Linked DNA regions of Mus musculus: all the other regions are reported to be linked to region 1. Evidence: microRNA targets listed by miRTarBase, many of them from high-throughput screens and not tested one by one. Region 1 holds a microRNA gene; each other region holds the end of a gene's coding sequence.

Region 1 (7,000 bases):
TCCTCCCTAGGTTTCCTTAAAGGGTTTCCTTGTATGTTGGGGGTCTTCCCCGGCTGGTCCTGGCCTCGACAGTCCTGTCTCCTATCCCCTTCTGACTCTCACGTGTTTCCTTGTTTCTGAATTGGTCTCTGTCCCTGTATGTCTCATACTCCCATTCTCCTGGGATTTGGGGAACAGTTGGGACGAGCCAAGTTGTGAGGATGGAGCCAAATACAGTCAGAGGAGGAAGCAACATGAGGCTGTGGAATCGACATACACCAAAGAGACACACCAAGACAAGCAGACACAGAGGTCCCTGGGGAGGTACTGGGAGGGCTGGGGACACTCAGGACCAACCACCAGGCAGGTACCATGGGACACTTAGTTCTCTGCCCAGCACCCCTGGTCAGCCCTCCCTTCCTGCCCTTCTGTAAGCCATACATCGCCCTGTGTCAAGTCAGTGCCATTTAGCATTTATTATCTATTGTGGGCACAGGAGGGAAGGGGACAATGGAAGAGCGGGAGACAAGAGGCTCCACCCAGGCCTAGAGAGAGACACCCAGTCCCATTCCAACATTGGAGAGATGACAAGTCTATCCCTTGGCCAAAGCAGGACTTGAGAAGTCCAAAGCCACAGGAGAGAGGGCCTCGCCCCATGCCTTTAGGGGAGAACCTGGCTATTTTTTTTTTTTTTTGTCTCCTCTGACCTTCCATACACCCCATACCAAACTGGGCATCCAATGTCATGACACCTGAGGTCTAAAGACGTTGGTCTCATAGGAATTCCCAGGAGGACTGGGGTGGAGACAGGTGTTCCCCATGTAGATGACGTCCTTGAATAAGAGGTGCTGCTCACCTGCTCTTCCTGGGACCCTAGGCTTTTCCCACTTGGAGATGATCCTGAAGAGCAGAAGGTCTCCTGGCTTGCCAGATACCTTGAAAATGCTGTCAAAAGTTCTCAGGGAAAAGCATCCTCTCATTCCGTGGGCTGTTTGTCTACGTCTCTCATCACGCCAGACTTGGGATACAGAGACCGCCATTGTCTCCCCACCTGGGACCTCCAGGAACTCCACTTCTCTGCTCAGGAGGTCGCTGGCCTCCACCATTTCTGGGCTCTCATTGGAGACTAGATGATGCTAAGAGCAGAAGAGCTATGGGACAATCAGGATGCTGTCCTTTCCCCCAAAAGCTCCTGGCCTGATGGGGGAGCCAGAGAGGGCAGTGTGGCAAGGTGATGACACACAGCACCGGGAAGGAGCATCCATCAAGTTGTGAGGGTCCGAGTGAGCAGACCATCACTGGCTCTCTCACCCACCCACTCTTGTCTGACCATATCTTTTCCTTTGGCATACTTCCCTTCCTGACACTGGTCCAGCTAGTCACTCGACATTCCTTTCTCCTGAGTGGACCATTATGTCTGACTTGCAGAGGCTTCTAGGCTTGCTGGGTCAAGCTCTGGTCCTATCTCCAAGGCCACATGAGAGGTGGGGTCGTAGACATTCAGGCTCATAGAAACCGGAGCAGGAGGCCAGCCAGTTCACCGAGACCCTTTCTCGGGGTATTGATTCCCAGAGTCTCTTCTTTCTTGTACACCCTGGGGAACAGTGTACCCAAGCTTCCTTGATGCCAAAACATCTCCCCAGACACAGCTCTGAGTCACAGATACTCACCACAGTCCCCAGTGACTGTCCCACTGTATTCAATTCAACTCTCATGGTCACAGAGGCAGGAAGGTTAGAGACCACAGGAAACCAAGATGACGGGAATTGTGAGGAGACTATGGTGACATGTATGGGAGCTGGGCCTTACTGGTTAGAAACCTGAGGGCTATGGGGACAGAGTGGTCCTACTGTGTGGAGGAGGCAACTGAAGATGGGTAGGGTGAGGAGAAGTCAAAGTCTGACCCAACTCAACTCATCTTAAAGCTTCCAGGCCAGGGCCATCACCTCCTCCCGATACTGGGCTCTTGTCTCCCTCCTCTTTCCATTTCCCTAATCTTTCCCTTCTAGACTGGAGAGTAGACTGTCAGTCTGAGAGGACTAACAACCCCTGCCTTCCCACCTGGCTGCTTCTCCTCCTTCCCACTCTCTATCACCACACTTGGCCCTGGATGGCTTTAAAGGGGTCAGTACAGTGGGAGTGCCTGGGGTAGAAGTTCAGCCTGGTTGGGGAGGAGTGGGAGGTCCAGGGGGGGACCAGCTATGGTAAGGGATGAGAGAAGCCAACAGTTGTCCCAAGGGTCCCCCTCAGGGAGTGGAGGTTCCCCTGGGAGGCGCCAGGACAGGCGCAGGTGTATTCTACAGTGCACGTGTCTCCAGTGTGGCTCGGAGGCTGGAGACGCGGCCCTGTTGGAGTAACAACTGAAGCCAGAGTCTTCGAAGGGTGGTGGGCTAAGGGGGAAGAGGGCATGGTGGGCAAAAGAAAGGGGGTGGGGGAGAGAGAAAAGGAGGACAAGGGGGCCCCTTCCTGTAGTACTTGGCTCTTGAGCTGCAGGTGGCTCCTTCCACGTGCCCCTGTGTCACCAACTCAACGATGGCCACAGCTCCTTTTCTCCTTTCTCACCCTTATGCCTCCTCTCCTTGGGGATCTTTCTTGTGGAGTCTCTTCATGTGGGGGTAGCATCCAGCTGTCCCCATGGCTACCCTCACTGGAGAAAGGATCTACCTTCCCTACATCCCGGTCTTTACACCCCTGTGCCTCTAAAGTGGGGTGAGTGAAAGGCACGTCTCAGGCCAGCAGCAGCTAGAAATTGGGGAGTTGGTAGTGCAAATTCATCAACCTCTTCCCAGACCAGCTGATGCAGAAATTCTGGGGTGGGGACAGCACTGTGTATTTCAACAGTCCTCCAGGTGACTCTGGGCCATGCCGTACTTTGGAAACCACTGAGGGACATCTGCAACCACAATCAGTACCTGAGAAAGGTACCTTCCCTTCCCCATAGCCAGAGTCACTCAGGGCTTATGAGGTGGCTCACTTGGCATCTGGGTTGCCCAACATCACCTAGTCTCTTTCCTTTCCTTTTGCTTCTGGCCCAGCTCAGCCTTGCTACTGGGAAGTCGTGGATGCAAGTGTTAGCACACACAAGCAGCTCTTGTAATATTTTCAGGTGACAGGTCTGTTAGAAACAGCTCTTTGGGCAGGTGGCAGGCGTGGGCGGTGGGGAGGGAAAGGAGCCACCTTCTCCTGCTTCCTCTGTTTTCTGCCTTGTGTCTGGGCAGCTGTGAAGAGCCAGAGAGGAAAACTGGGCTTCTGGACTTGGGCTTGGGCTAGGGACTTTCCTATTCTGAGTTTCAAGGAGTCCTCTTAAATAGTTATACTAAGTAACCTAGCTCTGGCTAATGGAGGTGTGCCCTGGGCATGGAGATAGATGCACTCCCCATTCTCCAGGAAAGATTAGGAAATGTGTGCATTGCTCTCCAGAACAAGAGGATGGAGACAGAGAGGGGGGCAGGTGGCATCTGCTCCAGGCTCCTGGTTTTCCCTACCGTGACCACTTTCTGGCACCTCTATTCATGGCTGCATTCTGTCTGTTGATGTTCTCCCCCCATGTTCTCAGGATGATTTCTTGGAGATCTGGGGGAGGAGTGGGCAGGAGAGACAGGAGTGATTGGGGTGGGGATATGCAGGAAAGAGAAGGAGGGTGGGCAGAGAAGCCTTCCCGGAGAGAGAGCCAGGATGTGGAGGTGGAAATGACATGGCAAGACAGGAGAGCAGTGTGTGACAGATGGACATCGCCTAGGGTATGATGGGGAGAGGCAGAGAAGCACTCGGAGGGACCAGAAGAGCCTGACCCAGAGGGATGGAAAAAAGCAGACAGGCAGAGGAGCTCCCAGGGAATCTCCCTTTGGAGGAAGATATCAGATTCCAGTCTGTGAGGTCAGCCCCTAACCTCAGGCCAGGAGGAGACACAGAGCAAGATGGATCGGCAGAAATGGTTCCAGGGTACAGTTTGGTTCTTACTCTGGAGTCCCATGTTATTACTTTCTTGTAGGGAGTCCAGGTGCCAGCAGCAGGGCGAGCAGATGGCAGGTTTGTGAGTTAGGAAAGTCATGGAGGGTTATAGATGCAGAATAAGACAGCATCTTCTGTCAGTGACCCCTTACTCAAGGCCATCTGTCCCTAAGGATGGCCCCAAAGGAGAGAAGACCAAAATTTCTGGTTTCATATGATCTTAGGAAGGAGTTAGAAGCAATTCAATCTGGGCCCTCTGCTCTCCCCAGTCGAACACACAAATGCTGATTCAGGCCCAGGTTTCAGAAAACTGGCAACCGCCCAGGTTTCAGAGAAACCCTGGTTCCAACAGCATTGTCCCCTTTCATGGTATCTAGGGAGAAAGACCAGCACACAGGAATGGCGCTGTCTGCGGTGCTGATGGCAGTCTCAGCCCACAGCAGCAGGTAGAGAGCCGCAGGTAAGGGAGCTGCAGAGAGCAAAAGAACTCTGTCCATTCTTCCACCTACTGTCCACAGACTACCACTGACCCTCCACCTATTTTCCTACCCACCCACCCACCCACCTACCCACCTGCCTCCCCTCCATTTCCTATCTCTTTACCCATTTGTCCACCCACCCACCCATTTCCCTTTTCCCTACCTATCTACCCACCTATCTGCCATCTAACTGCTCTAATCATCCATCTATCCATTGATTTTTCTCATCTGCTCATCTGTTCACATACCCACCATCTTCCCATTTTTTCAGTCTTCTATCTACTCATTTTCTACCCACTTGCCTATCTACTCATCCATCAACCCATCCATCCATCCATCCATCCATCCATCCATCCATCCATCCAGTCATGCACCCATCTACCCACCCACCTATTTTCCTAATTACTCACTCATCTACCCACCCACCCATTCCATGCATCCCTCCATCCACCTACCCAGTCACCCTCATCAAATTAGTCCATAAAACCACAGAACTAGAGGTGTCGCAGAGTGGAAAGACTCTTTTACATTCAGGAGGAAAACAAGGTTCAGAAGAGAAAGGGGTGTGTTCAAGGCCACATGGAGCTTCTGTCGTCAATCTGGGACAGGGCTGGAAATCATTGCTCTTGTCTATACGCCACAGGTTCTCCCCTGGGGTCTGGGAAATTGCCTGGTTGTTATGCTGATATTTTGATATTTACTCTGGTGTTTGTTCACAAAAGCTGCAAGGACAGGAAATGTGACAGCCTCCACCCACAATGAGCAAGGACTCTTGTGTATGTGCACACGTGCTATGTTCCCCCACCCCCGTGTGTGTGTGTGTGTGTGTGTGTGTGTGTGTGTGTGTGTGTCTGCCTGCATACTCCTAAATACTAGTCCTGACTGTACTCATTGGACGTATGACTGCATTTCTCTGTCTGTGCCTATATGAGCCATCTACATGGAGGTGTGAGCTAAGGTGTACACTTGACAGCCTGCCTATGTGGCACATGGTTGGGAGGGGGCGAGGGAGGACAGACAAACAAGTGGGTAAAAATGGCTGTTTTTCCCTCCCTTGAGAGTCCTGGGGTGCTAGGACTGTTTGAGGCTGGCTCCCTACTGTGCCTCCATTTCAGAAATTGCCCCATTTCCTCTTCACAGCTGCTCCCTCCCCCAAGGCTGCAGTTCTGTCCTGTGCCCAGGCAGGATTCGAATGTAACTCCCCTCCCCCAGCTGGTGTAGTGGAGGTTAAGTTACTCTCAGACCCTTGTGGTGGGGTGAGAGGTGGGTGTTCATTTGTGCAATTGGCATTTCAGCGAGCTGTACAGGCCCCTCTGAGTGGCCTGTTTCCTTCAATCGTTCCCACAGCTAACACCTCATTCTTGAGCAGGTCAGACTCCAAAGCAGATGGAGAGATGGCTGCCAAGCCCGGAGCCTCAACTCTACTAGTCTGCATCCTACTTACCCGGGCAAGGATGGAGAACCCCTCCTTGCTGGTGCCCCAACTCTCCCCAAGCTATCTTACCTCATTCCCTCTACCACCATCACCACCACCGCCATTTTCTTGCCCTTGGCCTAAAAAGGCACAGCAAACTGATCAATCAGAACAAAGGCCAGACAAGTAGCAACCAAATGGAGTAAAGGGCAGCTCAAGGCATCCACCAATCAAAGCAAAGGGCAGGTTGGGGAGCTGGCCAATCAGAACAAAGGACACACTGACTTCTCTAAGCCTTTGGGGTGGGAGATGGGAGTTGGGTGCTGTATATGCTCAGATAAGGAGGTTTGGGTAATCTCTGGCCCACCACAGATGGGCCATTGTTTTTCTTTGAGCCTCAGTTTCTTCATCCCTCAAATGGGGAGACAGCTACTGCAGCCTGTGGCTTCAGAAATTTCTCTTGCATGGAAGGCTTCCTGCATTGCAGTGGCTGCCATTCCCATTTCCCTAAGCACACCCATGGCAGATGTCACCAAAGTCAGACGCTCTCTGGGTCCCTCTTGGCAATCCTCCTGCCTTGAGACAGGAATAGAACTCCATGGACACCAAGACTTGGGGCCTTGTCCTTGAAGCTCCATTCTAGAGAGTGTGGGTCAAGAAAAAAATGTGGGGGGGGATTTTCTGGGTATGGAATCTTCCCTCTGTGGTCTTTAGCCTTAGGCTTGGAAGCACATAGAAGCCTGTGACAGTGCTGATGTGGGGGTCTCTGGTCTGCTACATGAGAAAGTAGCTGTTGCCATGAGAACCTAGAAGGGTTTGACATCATACTGGGTGTCTTCAAGGATATGGGGCTCTATGTAAAGGCAGCACTGATGCCTGAGGGTTGCAAGCAGGCAAACTTAGGGATTGTGTTGTCTGGAATCAACTGCTTCCAGGGTCCACAGTGGATAGATATCAACCATGACCAAGATGCAGTACACCCTGACAGGTGGGAGAGACCAAAGCAAGGTCTGGGCAGGGCAGGGAAGGCAATGCCTGCGATTCTCCCTCCCACTGGGAAAACAGCACGTGTGTGTGTGTGTGTGTGTGTGTGTGTGTGTGTGTGTGTCTGTAGCCAAGGAGACTTGGCAGTGGCATTTGGAGCTGACACCTGGACAAACCCCAGGCTTCACGCAGA
Region 2 (7,162 bases), not on the chromosome of region 1:
GATTATCTTCTTCCATCCCTCACATGTCTTTAGAGATAAACCTGAACACAAGATGCCTGGTTTCCTCTTTTAAGAAGTGTGTGTGGAATCTTAGCTCCTTCTGCTGTCTTACTCCTTTTGTGAAACCTTCTCTTCAGTACGGCAAACACAGAACCTTCCTGGACCTAGTAACTTCTACTGTTCCATCTTTTCTGAGAGTTCAGATTTGGTGTCCTTGTTATTGCTGCGGATGAGTTCTCTGACCAGCTCTGTAGAATAAGTCTTTCACAGGCTTCTGAGACTCTCACTCCAGACATAATACTTCTGTCTGCCAGTGCTTTAAAGAAAGTGTGTGGGTAAAATGTGGGGCTCGTTCTTGGATCTCCAACTCGATGCAGTATCTCACAGTCCTGTTCTCTGTCTCGAGCCCAGCAGGACCACTGTAAACCTGTACAGTGGAAAGTCTTGCTAGGAATGATAGTGGAATATGTGGCTCTTACCTCAAACGACCATACCATGTGCAAATTCTGCTACTGAAAAGTCTTATGTTCTGTCAAGTTTAGGTTTATAGATTTTTTTAGAATTGAAAGTTAATTTTAAAAATATTTTTAAAGAGCTGACTGAAATTATTTAGTAATATAAAGAACAATGTTATATTTCAACTAAAATTTTTTTTATTTGCTTTCATAGGATATTACAAATGAAGACCATCAAAAAATTGAAGTGTTGAAATCAGAAAACAAAAAACTAGAAAGACAAAAAGGAGAATTAATGATAGGGTTCAAGAAGCAGTTGAAATTGATTGACATTTTGAAAAGGCAGAAGGTGAGTCTAACAATAGACGCTGTATCTCAGATACACTACAGACAGACCGTTCTGCCAAAAAGTTTGTTTTTACTTTGCTTATAATCTTACACATAAAATTGTATCTAAAGATGCACTGTATACGTGTGAAGTCACATCTGTGTAATACATAGTGAGGTTCACTGGTTTAAAACACACGCACGCACGCACGCACGCGCACACATACACAGATATGTTTGTATATATATTCCCTCCCAACTACAGAAAGTACCATTCATGAGAATGACTAATTTTAGTGGATTAATTTCCTCTTCAAACTTTGAGCAGTAATTCTAAAACACATTGTATCTTTCTTGAAACATGAAAAAAGACAATTCACAGCCCTCTCTCGTTACAAAGATCAGGTATAATGATATCAAATTATTCTTTTAACAGTAGCTTGGTCTTCATGTAATATCAATTTAAAGTGTTACACTTGCATGGTTAGTATGTATAATCCAACAATAGCTTATTTTTTTGATAGCATATTAACACAAACAAATTTTCTTTTGTTGTGTGTCCATCTCTAAATTGAACAATATATATTTTTTAAAAACAGATGCATATTGAAGCTGCCAAGATGCTGTCTTTCAGCGAGGAGGAGTTTATGAAGGCTCTTGAGTGGGGCAGTTCATGAGTGAGCAACTGCAATGGGATGCTCATTTGATATCAAGTGTAGTCTTCTTGCTGTTCATGAGTAATAAGAACATTTGTGAAATAAAAGAGTTAGATAATGACCTGGTGAAATAAACAGAATGTTTGGGAGGATGTTGGAAGACAAAGCCAGACGGCAACTCTGGCCTGACTTCCTTTTTCATTAGTAGTTATGAAATAAGGAAGCAAGACTTCGACTCTTAATTATCTTTTATGACCTACTAGACCTGGGAGAGGACAGAGAAGATGGCAGGGCAAGATTCTGGAGATCCCCAGCTGCAGCTGCTGAGTCTGCTGCAGGCCTGTGTGCTGTGCACGGCTGCTGCATCCAACAGCAGTGATGCAGGCTGGGACCAGAGGCTGTTGTGCAGGGGCTATGTGTGTGTTCTCTTGTTCAGTGGTTGTGCACACAGGAGACAAAATAGAGATGGAAACAGGGACACACTTACTGTACCAAAGGATCATAAGTATAAGTGATTATGAACAATTTGGATAACACAGAATGTTTAATTTCTGGAGATATACTACCAAGAATTAACTAAGATAGAAAAACCTGGACACACCCATAGTAAGAAGGGAGATCAAGTAGATCAAATCCATAATAAAAAGCTCTATTGGGAGCTGGTGTGATGGCACAGTGGTTACGGAGGGCATTGCTGCTATTGCAGAGGACCCAAATTCAGTTCCCAGCACCCACAGGGCTGCTCACAGCCACCTTTAACTCCAGCTCTAGGGGTTCAAGGCCCTTTTCTGGCCTCCATTGACCTCTGCACAAACGGGATACATAGACATGCACTCAGGGATACACATAAAATAAAAATAAATATTTAAAAAAATAAATCTCCTCAAAGAAAAACACAGGACCTGACGGCTTCACTGCCAGCTTCTACCAAACATTTAAAGATTGGCAGTTCTTCTCAAACTATTCCAAAACAGTGACATAAAGACATTTCCACATTCAAGTATGCTCATCCTGATACCGAAATCATGCAAGAGCAACAAACAAAACCAAGCCAACAACTCCCATAGTCCAGTATCTCTGATCAACTCAGATGCAGAAATGCTCCCCAGAACACCAGCAAACAACTTCTATACATCAAAAGATCCCTCATCACGATGCAGTGGGATTCAACCTAGATGATTTGACATTCAAATCAGTAAGCATGTCACACTGACAGAATGAAGAAAAGGTTTGTAAATTCAGTAGAGAGAAAAGCCCAAGACTGAGCAACACTTCATGACAAAACTGTCAGCAAAGTAGGTTACAGAAGGAATGTGCTGTAACGTGAGTCATATGTGACAAACCCACAGCCAACACACTGAACAGGGAAAAGCTGAAGCTTAGCCCCACGTATTTGTGTATCCAATCCTTTTATATTGTGACATGATATTGTGATCTTCAGAGTTCATACTGAAAGACTATGCAACAGAATTACAAATTAAAAAAATGAATTTTGTATAACATTTTAAGTTTGCTATTTGTAGTGGTCTGCATTAATCACATCCCAGGTTGCCCATCCCTATAAGACCTGAAATCAGACAGTTAAGAGCAATGGCTAGGCAGAGAGCACACGCCTTTAATCCCAGCACTCAGGAGGTAGAAGCAGGAAGATTTCTGTGAGTTCGAGGTTAGCCTGGACAGCCAGGCCCACACAGTGAAACTCTGTTTCCACCCTCTCCAAAACCTCCCCAAAAGAGCACTAGTTGCTCTTGCAGAGAACCCAGGTTTGGTTCCCACCGTGCGTATGGTCCCAGTCATCTGTAACTCCAGTTCCAGAGGCTAGGACACCGTCTTGAGGCATTCTTGAGCTCTGCAGACATCTAGTACACATATATGCAGGCAAGCACATGTAAAATTTTTTTTTTTTTTTTTTGGTTTTTCGAGACAGGGTTTCTCTGTGTAGCCCTGGCTGTCCTGGAACTCGCTCTGTAGACCAGGCTGGCCTCGAACTCAGAAATCCGCCTGCCTCTGCCTCCTGAGTGCGCCACCACGCCCGGCTCGTAAAATATTTTTTTAATCTTAGCAGAAATGCTAATCAAATATAACCAGCAAGAGAAAGAAAAATATGAAGTCTGGGAACAAAGAAGTTGGGTTGTCCATTATGAAAAATGGTTGAGATCAAATCAACTGAGTAAAGTTACAAGGTAAGAAAACCAATAGGCACACATCAGGAGACTGACAGCACAAATGAAAGCCTTGAGCTGTAGCTCAGTGGCAGAGCACTTACAGAACATGTATGAGACCCCAGATCCAGTCCCTAGCATAGCACAAGCCAAAGTAGTGGCATTTTTATACATCAGTGGCAGAATATCAGAGAAAATCTACAGTACCCCATTTGTAGTATCTAACAAAAACATTTTAGACTAAATTTTACCAAGGAGATTGAAGATGGCTGTATTGAAAACTACAAAATATTGATGACAGAAACTTGAGAGAAGTAAATAGCTGTTTAATGTTTATGAATTAGAAAAGTGTCTTACATACTGCCCAGAGAGGTCTGTCGTCTCCCTGTAGTGAGCTGCTGTGTTTGGCCTCTGGTTCTGTGGAATTCTGTGATATGATGGCATCATAGAATGCATAGTAAATAAAAATGACTAATTCTGCAGTTAAAGTACTAATGTGTTTAATTTTTGTCAAACTGTATACATGATGAAATAGGAGGATGTTTTAGAACATGCAGATAGACCAGGGCCTACTGTCACCAACTGTAAAACAGCAGTTACGCTGACATCTAGTGGCAGCATCTGAGCACTCCAGGTCTCGCCCGGCCTTGCTATGAAGACTCGGCTTCAGACTCCATCCCTTTTCTGATAGGCCTTCCTGAACTCTTCACCAAGCATGTCAACATCGTCTTCTCTTTTAAACACTCCCTACAAAGAAGCATTTTGTTGGTTACTTTGAACATTAGAGTATTTCACTGAATTTTCTTAGGACTAACACACACAGACATGAAGCTAATGAAGAAATGCAGATAATGAGATCGATTATTGAAACTTAATTTTAAAATATCAGAAAGACTATGGCTTCAAGTATATCTGAATATCACTGAGCTGCTCCCAGTTCCTGATTACTCAACCTCAGAGTATTAAGCTGTGCTAGGGGCTGCTGTGCCTTATGCTCTAACTCCGGCCGTGACTGCCTACATTACAGGCTACTGTCCGGACGCACTCTTTCTGCCTCAGTCTATCAGCGGCTCATTCTGAGACACTGAATTTTACTCTTAACGGGTCCCGGCTGCCCTCCAGAAGTATTTTCTCCACTCAGATGTTGAAGTCCAAAGGCCCTCTCAGCATATATATAGTCTGTTTTATTAAATATACCAATCATGGGTGAATTTTGGCATCAGGCTATCATGCGTATTTAAATCTACCTAACTAATTAGACTTTAATACACTACGGCTAGCAACTTTTAATAATTTTCCTTTTTCTTTCATTGGTTAGGGACTGAACACACTTGATTCTGCATAGTCAATAAAGACTTCAAGCAATATGACTCATATATTTGAAGGACTGTGGCTTTATGAATCTCCATGTTTATATGGATAAGGAAGCTAATTATTAGCAGTCACAATGTGTCTCAAATACTATACATGAAAATTCATTGCCTATTGGAATAGCTCTCAATAGTTGAGGCTGCCTAGTACCTACTTACAATCAGTTTCCCACAGAGCAGACTCGGCTCAGACTCATGTCTAGCATGTGTTCACCCATGACAAGGCTTCATGTCTCTCATTATCTTCATGTTTACCCTTTTATAGTTGCTCTAGGGTAGTTTGTTTCAGATTTCCCATGCAACAAGCAGATGAAGAGCCTCAAAAGTGTTAGCTCAGGGGCTGGGGATATAGGTCACTACATAGAGCACTTGCCTAGCAAGGCTCTAGGTTAGATCCCCAGCCCCACAGAAGCTTGGCAAAGTAACACAAGCCTGCAGGAGGAGAAGCAGGAGGACCACAAGTTCAAGGTCATCCTCTGTTTCATAGGGAGTTCCAGGCCAGCCTGGGCTACACCTTGTCTCAAAAAGTAAATAAATGAATAAATAAATAAATGAATAAATACTCAATCTTGATAACTCTAGCTCAGATCACTAGTAATGCTCCAGGACAAGCTCTTGCTATCGAGGCATTTAAAAAGGACGATAGGTATCAACTCTGCCTGGGTCCCAGTGCTTCACCAACAAACAACAGCATGAAGTTACTCCCTCTGACTCTAGAATCACGCTTCAGCGCCGTTGTTTTCTCCAGTAGGACGAGGCTCACACACTAAGGTCAGTGTCACTTACTTTGGGGAGATAGCCTAGTAACTTTGCAGCATGTTCTTTGAGGAGTCTCAGCCTCTCTTCTTCAATAATCTCATTGATGCAGCCCTGCCGCCTTTGCTGTAGTTGCAATTCCTCCAGCTCACGTTGCTGCAAACAAAATCAAAATGTTTTAACTGTCACACAATACATTCATCTCTTATGAAGTTTACAAATAAAGCTAGATGATAAGACTGGTGTGTTAATTATAAGATTAGAAGATAATTATGTATATCTTTATTTTTTAAAGATTTATTTATTATACATATGTGAGTACACTGCTGCCCTCTTCAGACACACCAGAAGAAGGCATCAGATCTCATTCCAGATGGTTGTGAGCCATCGTGTGGTTGCTGGGAATTGAATTCAGGGTCTTAGGAAGAGTAGTCAGTGCTCTTAACTGCTGAGCCATCTTTCCAGCCCATAGTGTATGTCTTTTAATACAGGTAAATATATATACCTGTATTTTTATCATCATTATCTCTCTAAACTTTCAAGAACAAGTTATATCCCACCCGTATTTTTGTTTTCTTTATTTGTGGTGCTGGTGTTTGAACCCAGGGCCCTGCACCTGCACCTGCTAGGCAAGTACTCTACCACTGAGCTGCAATCCCAGCCCTATGACAGGAAGTTTAAAGGACACATTTTTTTTTTAGGAAAATCTTCAATCTCAAGAAAAAATGTATTCAAATGAGTGATTTCCTAACTAATTCAGCAAATATTTATGCAGTTTCCACCATATACCCCGTTCCCAAGATACCCCAAACAGTTTATAGTGTAAGACAAAAATAAAATCCTAATGCATAAAACAAAACACAGTTATCTGAAGATACGTTTTTTTAAATGCATCGTTAAAGGTCTAAGTGGAGCACACTGCAGAGGTCAGAGTCCCAGCAAAGAAGCTATGGTACCTTTCTGGAGAATACTGAATTCTGTGGGAACTCTGAGCTATGGAATGCCGATGTGATGTCATGTACATAACATTAGGGCCCAGAGAACTTTACCCAAGCCACACTCCTGAGTAGGATCTGCAGAAGTGGGAACGGAATCAGGTAAGACCTCTACCACGGAACAGCAACCCAGCCCCACACACTGATTTAATGAGATGACGTAACCTATCTAATCTTGGCATAACACAGGGTTTTCCTTCATATGCTGTGCTACCCCACACTACATGTTTACCCCCACTTCACATAATTCTACTCTAAGGCAGGTCGATCGGTTTAGAAAGGTGTGGGACAAAGCCTGAATAAACTGGTAGTAAAGTCTTTTTAGGAATTTGTTTAAACCATACACATTCTTAGAGGTGAACAGGATTATAGACAGCTACTTAGGCCTCTAAAATAGAAATGGGCAGTTTAGTGCTTTTAAGGCTACGTAATGCTAAGAAT
Region 3 (7,162 bases), not on the chromosome of region 1:
GTCGGACAATCTGAGTTTGAACCCCGGGACTCACATTAAAAAGAAAGAATCAATTCCTAAAAGTTATCCTCTACATCCATGTGTGTGTCATGGTACTTTCTTAGACAAATATTCTCTGCAATTTCAAAAATGTGCAACATGGAACCCTTTGACTTTCCTCGCACCTTGAAGAACACCAGCTCCATGCTCATGAGGACTAGACTGTCACCACCCTAATAACATCTTGAAGTGACTGTCTGAGCAGGCCAAGACCACAAAGCCCCTGGATCAGGTCTAGCTGGGGGGTTATGGTGGAGATTTGGAGCCATAGCCACAAAGGACCAGACACGCAGCTCATCACATACTGCTTGGAGACTGAGGATTCTAAGCTCAGGGTTCACTGTGAGCTACACCCACGCTGCGCCCATGGCTCTCTGTCCTGTTCTGTGTGCTGACCTGCCTGTCTATGGTCAGGCTGGCTGCTGACAGGGCCACATCAGAAGCTCAGGAGTGTTTGTCTAGCATGCAGAAAGCACCTCAAAAACCGGGTGCAGTGGTGCACACCTGTCACCCAGCACTGAGGAGAGGATTCTGGAGTTTCAGACATTCAAGGTCATCTTCAGCTATATAGTGACTTCAAGGCCAGTACTAGACAAGTAAGACCCTGGTTTGTTGTTGTTGTTGTTTGCTTGCTTGCTTGCTTGCTTGCTTGCTTGCTTGCTTGATTGATTGATTGATTGATTGATTGATTGACTGATTTTTAAGGCAAGCAATAGAGTTGGAGAGATGGCTCAGCAGTTAAGAGCACTGACTGCTTTTCCAGCGGTCCTAAGTTCAAATCCCAGCAACCACATGGTGGCTCACAACCATCTGTAATGAGATCTGATGCCCTCTTCTGGTGCTGTCTGAAGACAGCTAGTGTACTTAATTATAACAATAAACAAATCTTTGGGCCAGAATGAGCAGGGACTAAGCGAGCAGGGTTGACAGAAGCAAGCAGAGTTTCTAAAATTCAATTCCCAACAACCACATGAAGACTCACGACCATCTGTACAGTTACAGTGTACCCACAAACATACATACATACATACATACATACATACATACATACATACATACATACATACATACATACACCTTTACGGCAAGCAATAAAGACGAGAAGGAAAGGAACAGAGCCCCTTCTGGAAGGGGCTGACTGCTCTTCCAGAAGTCTTGAGTTCAAATCCCAGCAACCACAAAGTGGCTCACAACCATCTGTAATGAGATCTACTGCCCTCTTCTGGTGTGTCTGAAGACAGCTACAGTGTACTCATAATAAATAAATAAATAAATAAATAAATAAATAAATAAATAAATAAATCTTTAAAAAAAAAAAAAACCTAGTCTAGGATAAGGAGACCCTCCTGACTCCCAGAACCCACTTCCAACAAACTCCGCTAGCCCGTGACAATTTACCAATATAATTTAGATTACACCCTGACCGTGCTCTCCCTCCTGTGCTTCCGGAACTATTTAAGTCACCGTATGCTGTCTGTATTACACTGAGTTCCTGTCCCTTATCCTAGCTCACACTCTCCTGTCTTCTCCGCACTCCAGCACAATCTTTTTTTTTTAAAGATTTATTTATTTAATGTACGTAAGTATATTTTATGTATGTGAGTACACTGTAGCTGTCTTCAGACACAACAGAAGAGGGCATCATATCCCTTTACAGATGGTTGTGAGCCATCATGTGGTTGGTTGCTGGGAATTGAACTCAGGACTTCTGGAAGAACAGTCAGTACTCTTACCCGCTGAGCCATCTCTCCCACCCCAGGACAATCATTCTTGAGGCTCAGTGATTCCCAGCTCCGAATTCTCCAGAAAACACATCCCACAGACTTCCTTCTGGGGGAGCATTTTTTCCAGTCAAGGTCTACATAGCCCTTGTGCTGGCCTTGAATCCTCATCCCCCTGCCTGTCCCATGTGCCAGAGTCACGGGCATGTGCTTGGCACGTCTTTCCCACTTTCACCTTAGAACTTGTCGTTTTACAATTGTGCTTGATCTGTTTAGCAGCCTCCCCTCACCCTCACCCCCACCCCTTCTCAAACCTAACTTTTAACCCAGCAGCCAGTCAGTCACCAGGCCTTTCAGAGCTCAGTGTGTGACAGCTGAAGCATTGTATACGCTGTTCGATGATCAACTCAAGGTGGTTGGGTGACGCCATCACACAGTTGTCATTCCTGTGTGATGAGGACATGCGGCACGCTCCTCCAGCTATTTTGAATGATGTGACTAGTGTCACTGTCTGCTCACTGTACCCTTCCACATACTAGAAGAGAATGTTTGCCCCAGCTGCTGTGACCTTGTGCCTGTTAACCCATCTCTCTCCTCCCTCCCGCCTCAGCTAATCACTAGTCCCTCTCCCGCTTACTCAAATATAAATCCTTTACCTAATATATTCCACATATATCTTATATGATGTGCCCTGTTACTCTGTCTTAAAATGTGTGGGCCTGTCTTTCTGCTGCTGGCCCGTTCTCATAGGATTCAGGTGAGCACGTGTGGAGTGTCCCCAGTATACTGTGAGGTTCTGTCTGGCACATGAAACTCCCCTGGCAAGGACGAGCCTGCTCTCCCCAGGCTAGTCTGCTCCTAGTGTTGCTGGCTTTAGCTCAGAGCCTGCCCCCACCCCTTTGATAAGCAGACTTCAACCTCTTCCTGGCAAGCCAGGTGCCCAGTGATCGGGAGTCACCCCTACAGCTTGGGCCCACCAACATCACCTAAATCACCTGTGCCCCTCACTCTGACCCCGGCAGAGGCAAATTTTACCGTTTCCTCCTGCCTTCTGGCCTCATAGGTTCTAGGGGCCTTTCCCAAGGTCACTCCTGACCTACCACCTCAACAGAGACCAAGACAGGTCGTGGTGTTAAAGGCTTTGAGACCCTGTATCCTAGAAAAGCATTCCCTAAAACCTGGTTTAGAGGTAGGTTTTTTGTTTTGTTTTGTTTTGTTTTGTTTTGTTTTTTCGAGACAGGGTTTCTCTGTGTAGCCTTGGCTGTCCCGGAACTCACTTTGTAGACCAGGCTGGCCTCGAACTCAGAAATCCGCCTGCCTCTGCTTTCCGAGTGCTGAGATTAAAGGCGTGCGCCACCACGCCCGGCACTAGAGGTAGTTTTAAAAAACAAACAACTCCAGAATAAGATCTACACCCTTTCCCCCCTTGATTGGTTTATTTTTCAAAGCTTTGTACTGTTTACAAAACACACTGAAAAACAGTTAGGGGTTTTCAAGTGTCCACACTGGGGTCTATACAGATCCCTGTGAGAATGTGAATACCAACACATGCCTGCATCACTAAGAATGGCCCTGAGGTCCCTGAAGATCAGCCCAGTGCCCACTGGCTCCACTCACTGGCGATTTTAATGTGCGGTGCTGCCTTTCTAAACTGTGGAGACACATCATGGCAACTGTGGATCTGTTCAAGCCCCCAACACTGGAAGAGCCCAACAGCAGGCAATGGGTGACTCACAAAGCGGGTCTTCTGCCCAAAGCAGCATCCTGCCTCTTTTCGGACTTGTCCTTTCCTTACCCAACGGGCCTGCCTTGGACCTTTCTGCCTTCCTTCTGAAGGCTAGAATGTATGTGAAGCAGGCCCAGAAGCACCAACCTCTGTGTGGGCACGCCCCCATCAGGTTTGAGAGGGCAAAAGCCAGTCACATGACTGCAACCCTAAAGTAAGCTGCCTGGAACCCTTAGAGGTTCCTCTGTCAATCTAAAAGGCTGCCAGGTGGGGTTGGCAGGAGCCCATCAGTCACAGCCTTCCAGAGCACAGCTGGAACCCCAACATCCAACGCAACCGCAGTATTGCTCCTGAGTGGGCAGGCAGGCAGAGGCAAAACAGCCACGGAGACAAGGCTGTCATAGGCCAGGCCAGGCAACCATCCAAGCAGGACAGCTGGGTCTGTCCGCCATGCTAGGACCTGCACAGCCTATGTGTGTGCTTCAAGTATTGTGCTTTGGTTGTGAACCGTCCTCCATGAACTCACCTTTGACCTCACTGTGGTCCCCAGCAGCTGGTGCTGCTTGGAAGGCAGTGGAACCTGTGGAATGTGAAGTCTGTCCTTCTGCTTGAAGGATGTACCTGCCTTTAGATGCCCTTTCTCTGCTTCCTGGTGCCTTACCATGTGAGGGGCTCAGCCACACTCCCACTGCCATGAACCCCCTGAAATCGCCAGCCAGGGTAATCCATCCTTCAGGTTGTCTCTGCCAGGTCCCTGTCCCCAGCACTGTCTACCCACTCAGTACCATAGAGAGGAGGTCACTCAAGGTGCCTTCTTCTTGCTGAAGAAGGAGGGCACTCCCAACCCCCCGTGCCTCCTTCTAAGCTGCGGCAAACTGCACCTCAATTCAGAGAGCACCTTGAGCCCTAGCCTAAGCAGCCTCCAAAGTCACAGTTCTTAGAAGTCCTCACTGCCCCTGGCACCAGAGTGACTGCCAGGCTGCCCACACCCCAGGCCTCTGTGGATTTACCTTGGGGGCACTGTAGAAAACAGTTTCAGAGATGTCCCCATCCCCCCACCCCAGAACCCTGAGCACCCATTGCCTTGCCTAGGCTCACAGCGGCCTCCCCACTTCCTGCCAACCTAGTATGGACCAGTTCAGTAGAACTCTGCTGAAATAAACCTATTGGATCTAGCCAGGCATAGTGGTGACACTTGCCTTTAACCTCAGTGCTTGGAAGGCAGAGGCAGGCAGACCTATGTGAGTTCGAGGCCAGCCTGTTCTACAGAGTGAGTTCCAGGATAGCCAGGGCTACACAGAAAAATCCTGCCTCAAATAAACAAAGAAACAAACAAACAAACAACAAAGAATACTGCTGCTCTTGCAGGGGATACAAGTTCAGTTCCCATCACACGCATGTTCAGCAACTCAGAGTCACCTGTAACTCCAACTCCAGGGTATGTGATACCCTCCTTTTGTCCTCTCTAGGCACCCAGACATTCATCCATAAACACACACATAAAGACATAAAAACAAAATACATCTCTTGAGAGAGACATAGGTGTATCGTGTGAGCCCACTGGGGCTTGCCTATCAATCTAACACTCACAAAGCTGAGGCAGGAGAATTTCAAGTTCAAGACCAACCAGGGCTATAACAGTGGGCTGCTTCCATCTGGTGGGTGGTCTCTGGGGACAGCTGTCCCACGGTCTGTCCTACCAAACCTGACCCAAATGAAACAAGAGGTCTGAAAGGGCTGTTCTCAGACCACACTTTACTAGTCCTTGGGCTTTGTGGCGAGACCCTCAGTTCACATTACAAAGGTTAGAAAAAGTGGTTCAGAGGGAGGTATGCACCCCACCAGTGGCCAGCAAGTAACTCCCTTCTAAAAGCCCAAGCCAGCAAAAACGTTAGCCGAGCAGAAGCCCTCCCCTCCCCCCCAGATGGACCTGAGCCCTGGGCTCCACCCCTCCTAGAGCTTCCAGGGGAACATGAAAAGACAGCAGCTCACTTTGAGGCGTGAAAAGAGCTCTTGGGACAGTAGGCATGTAGTCCCTGTGGCTCACAGAACACATCTCTCAACCCAGGGGATCCAACCTCCCGACCCTGCACACAACCTATACAATCTCTGCCCTGAGATGAGTTTCAAGAGAACACGAAGCCAGGCCCAGCAACTCTGCAGGCACACAGAGTCCCTTCCTCCAAGGGGAAACAAGGTCAGGGACCTGGCGTCTGACACAGGCCTATGTCAACATAGGCCTGTAGACCTGGCATATGGACTGTCTCAAATCTTGTTCAGAAGCTGGTCCAAATGGGAGCTCAGACCCTTCTCTCTCCCAGCCTCAGGTGGTCACTCTGCTCTCAGTCAGACTTCTCGAGAGAAGACAGCCCATAAGAGTAGGCTCTCTGTAGGAAGCATGAGCCGATCTGTAGCCTGGAACCCATGGAACTTTCCTAGAGGATGTGCTCCAGAAGGCACCACGGGAGGAGGAACTCATACCCAACAGGCGCAGCACAGAGAGTAGACAACCTTGGGCAGAGGCTCAAAGGCATCTGGAAACTCTAAGGCCAGTGGGGCTCCAGAGCATCCAAGCTACTTGGCAGCTGTGGGCCACCAGTCCGGCACCACGGCAGTCACAGCCACCAACTGGCTCTCGGAGGTCTTGATGTGGAGAGGACCCTTGATTGTCTCTGACCGCAGCAAAGCCAGTCCCACGTGTCCCTGGCCAGCCCTGAACTTGCCCGCTGCCTGGCCTGTGGCAGTCACCGTCACTATGGCGCCAGGGCTGACGCCACTTGCAGGCAGGGGGCCTTCAAGCTTCACTGGGAAGAGGCGCTTGCGGATGACACCTGTATGGTGGGTCCGGGCCGTCAGCTCCTGCCCAATGTAGCAGCCCTTCGTGAAGCTCACGCCATTCATGAAGACCAGGTTGGACTCCAGGGGGAGGGCCATCCCTGGGGGAAGATCACAGACTCCCTCGGGGATGCCTGTGGGATTCAAAAACCAAGAGAATGAGCATAGCCGTGTCCAGAGAGAAGAACAGGCCTGCAGTTTATAAAGCCCAGCCCTGCAGGCCAACTCTACCAACCCCTCTGCCCATTCTGGAGTCCACCTGCCCCCATGAACCTCCCAACCCCAGCCTGGCATAGCTGTCCCTACTCATACCTTGCTGGTACCGGTACTTGTGATAATCTTGGAGATCCCCAAGCTGTCCCCTGGGCACCAGGGCTGGGCCATCATCCTGGGTGAGAAGCCGCCACCCCATACGTGCAGTCCGGGGGTCACGGATAAGCATGGTGGTGCCTTCTACCCTCTCTTCTAGAGGTGCAGTCTCAGAGGTTTGGGGGACACAGGGTAGCACAGCCCACACGTGGAGCTCCGGACTTGGCTCCACGGTGACCTTCCGCCGGATCTTGTACATGGAGAGGTGCTTCTGTAGGGCGCCCAGCACGGAGCTGTCACACTCCAGGAGAAAGCTTGGTGCCCCCTCCGTACACTCTGGGAGTCTGCAGGAGATAGGCATGGCTTAGAGCCGGCAGGAGTTCCTACCCACTGCCAGCTTACCAAGCTTGTGAAGAACAAAACACAGAGAGAAAAGTTCCGCGGGCCACATGGGGCTGCCCCTCCAGTGTGCGGTCTGTGAGCTATAGCCGTTGCTGGCTCACGGCAGACTAAAAGCCAAACCCACAATGAC

What was found. Region 1 holds the annotated microRNA mmu-miR-139-5p (UCUACAGUGCACGUGUCUCCAG, at 2,276-2,297, shown strand). A microRNA usually pairs through its seed, bases 2 to 8, with sites in the 3' UTR of a target mRNA and lowers its output. Matches are read on the target gene's strand: a 7mer-m8 pairs with bases 2 to 8, a 7mer-A1 pairs with bases 2 to 7 and ends in A, and an 8mer does both.
Region 2: the mRNA of Tex9 is a reported target of mmu-miR-139-5p. Seed matches in the 3' UTR shown: 7mer-A1 at 3,404-3,410.
Region 3: miRTarBase lists Iba57 as a target of mmu-miR-139-5p. Seed matches in the 3' UTR shown: 7mer-A1 at 4,749-4,755.

Annotation. Positions count from the first base shown.
Region 1 is chr7:101,473,107-101,480,106 of GRCm38, forward strand. It overlaps Mir139 (microRNA 139), which reads left to right and starts at 2,270; the gene lies at 2,270-2,337. The region is part of intron 1 of Pde2a (phosphodiesterase 2A, cGMP-stimulated); the gene reads left to right.
Region 2 is chr9:72,455,498-72,462,659 of GRCm38, reverse strand. It overlaps Tex9 (testis expressed gene 9), which reads left to right. Exons shown (of 12, transcript NM_009359.4): 11 at 670-804; 12 at 1,382-4,605. The coding sequence ends at 1,459. Mns1 (meiosis-specific nuclear structural protein 1) reads right to left here. Exons shown (of 10, transcript NM_008613.3): 9 at 5,757-5,882; 10 at 4,084-4,347. The coding sequence ends at 4,267. Among named protein-coding and RNA genes, the nearest start is that of Mns1, 21 kb to the right of the region's middle.
Region 3 is chr11:59,152,205-59,159,366 of GRCm38, forward strand. Iba57 (IBA57 homolog, iron-sulfur cluster assembly) reads right to left here. Exons shown (of 3, transcript NM_173785.6): 2 at 6,634-6,974; 3 at 3,165-6,455. The coding sequence ends at 6,061. Among named protein-coding and RNA genes, the nearest start is that of Iba57, 8.0 kb to the right of the region's middle.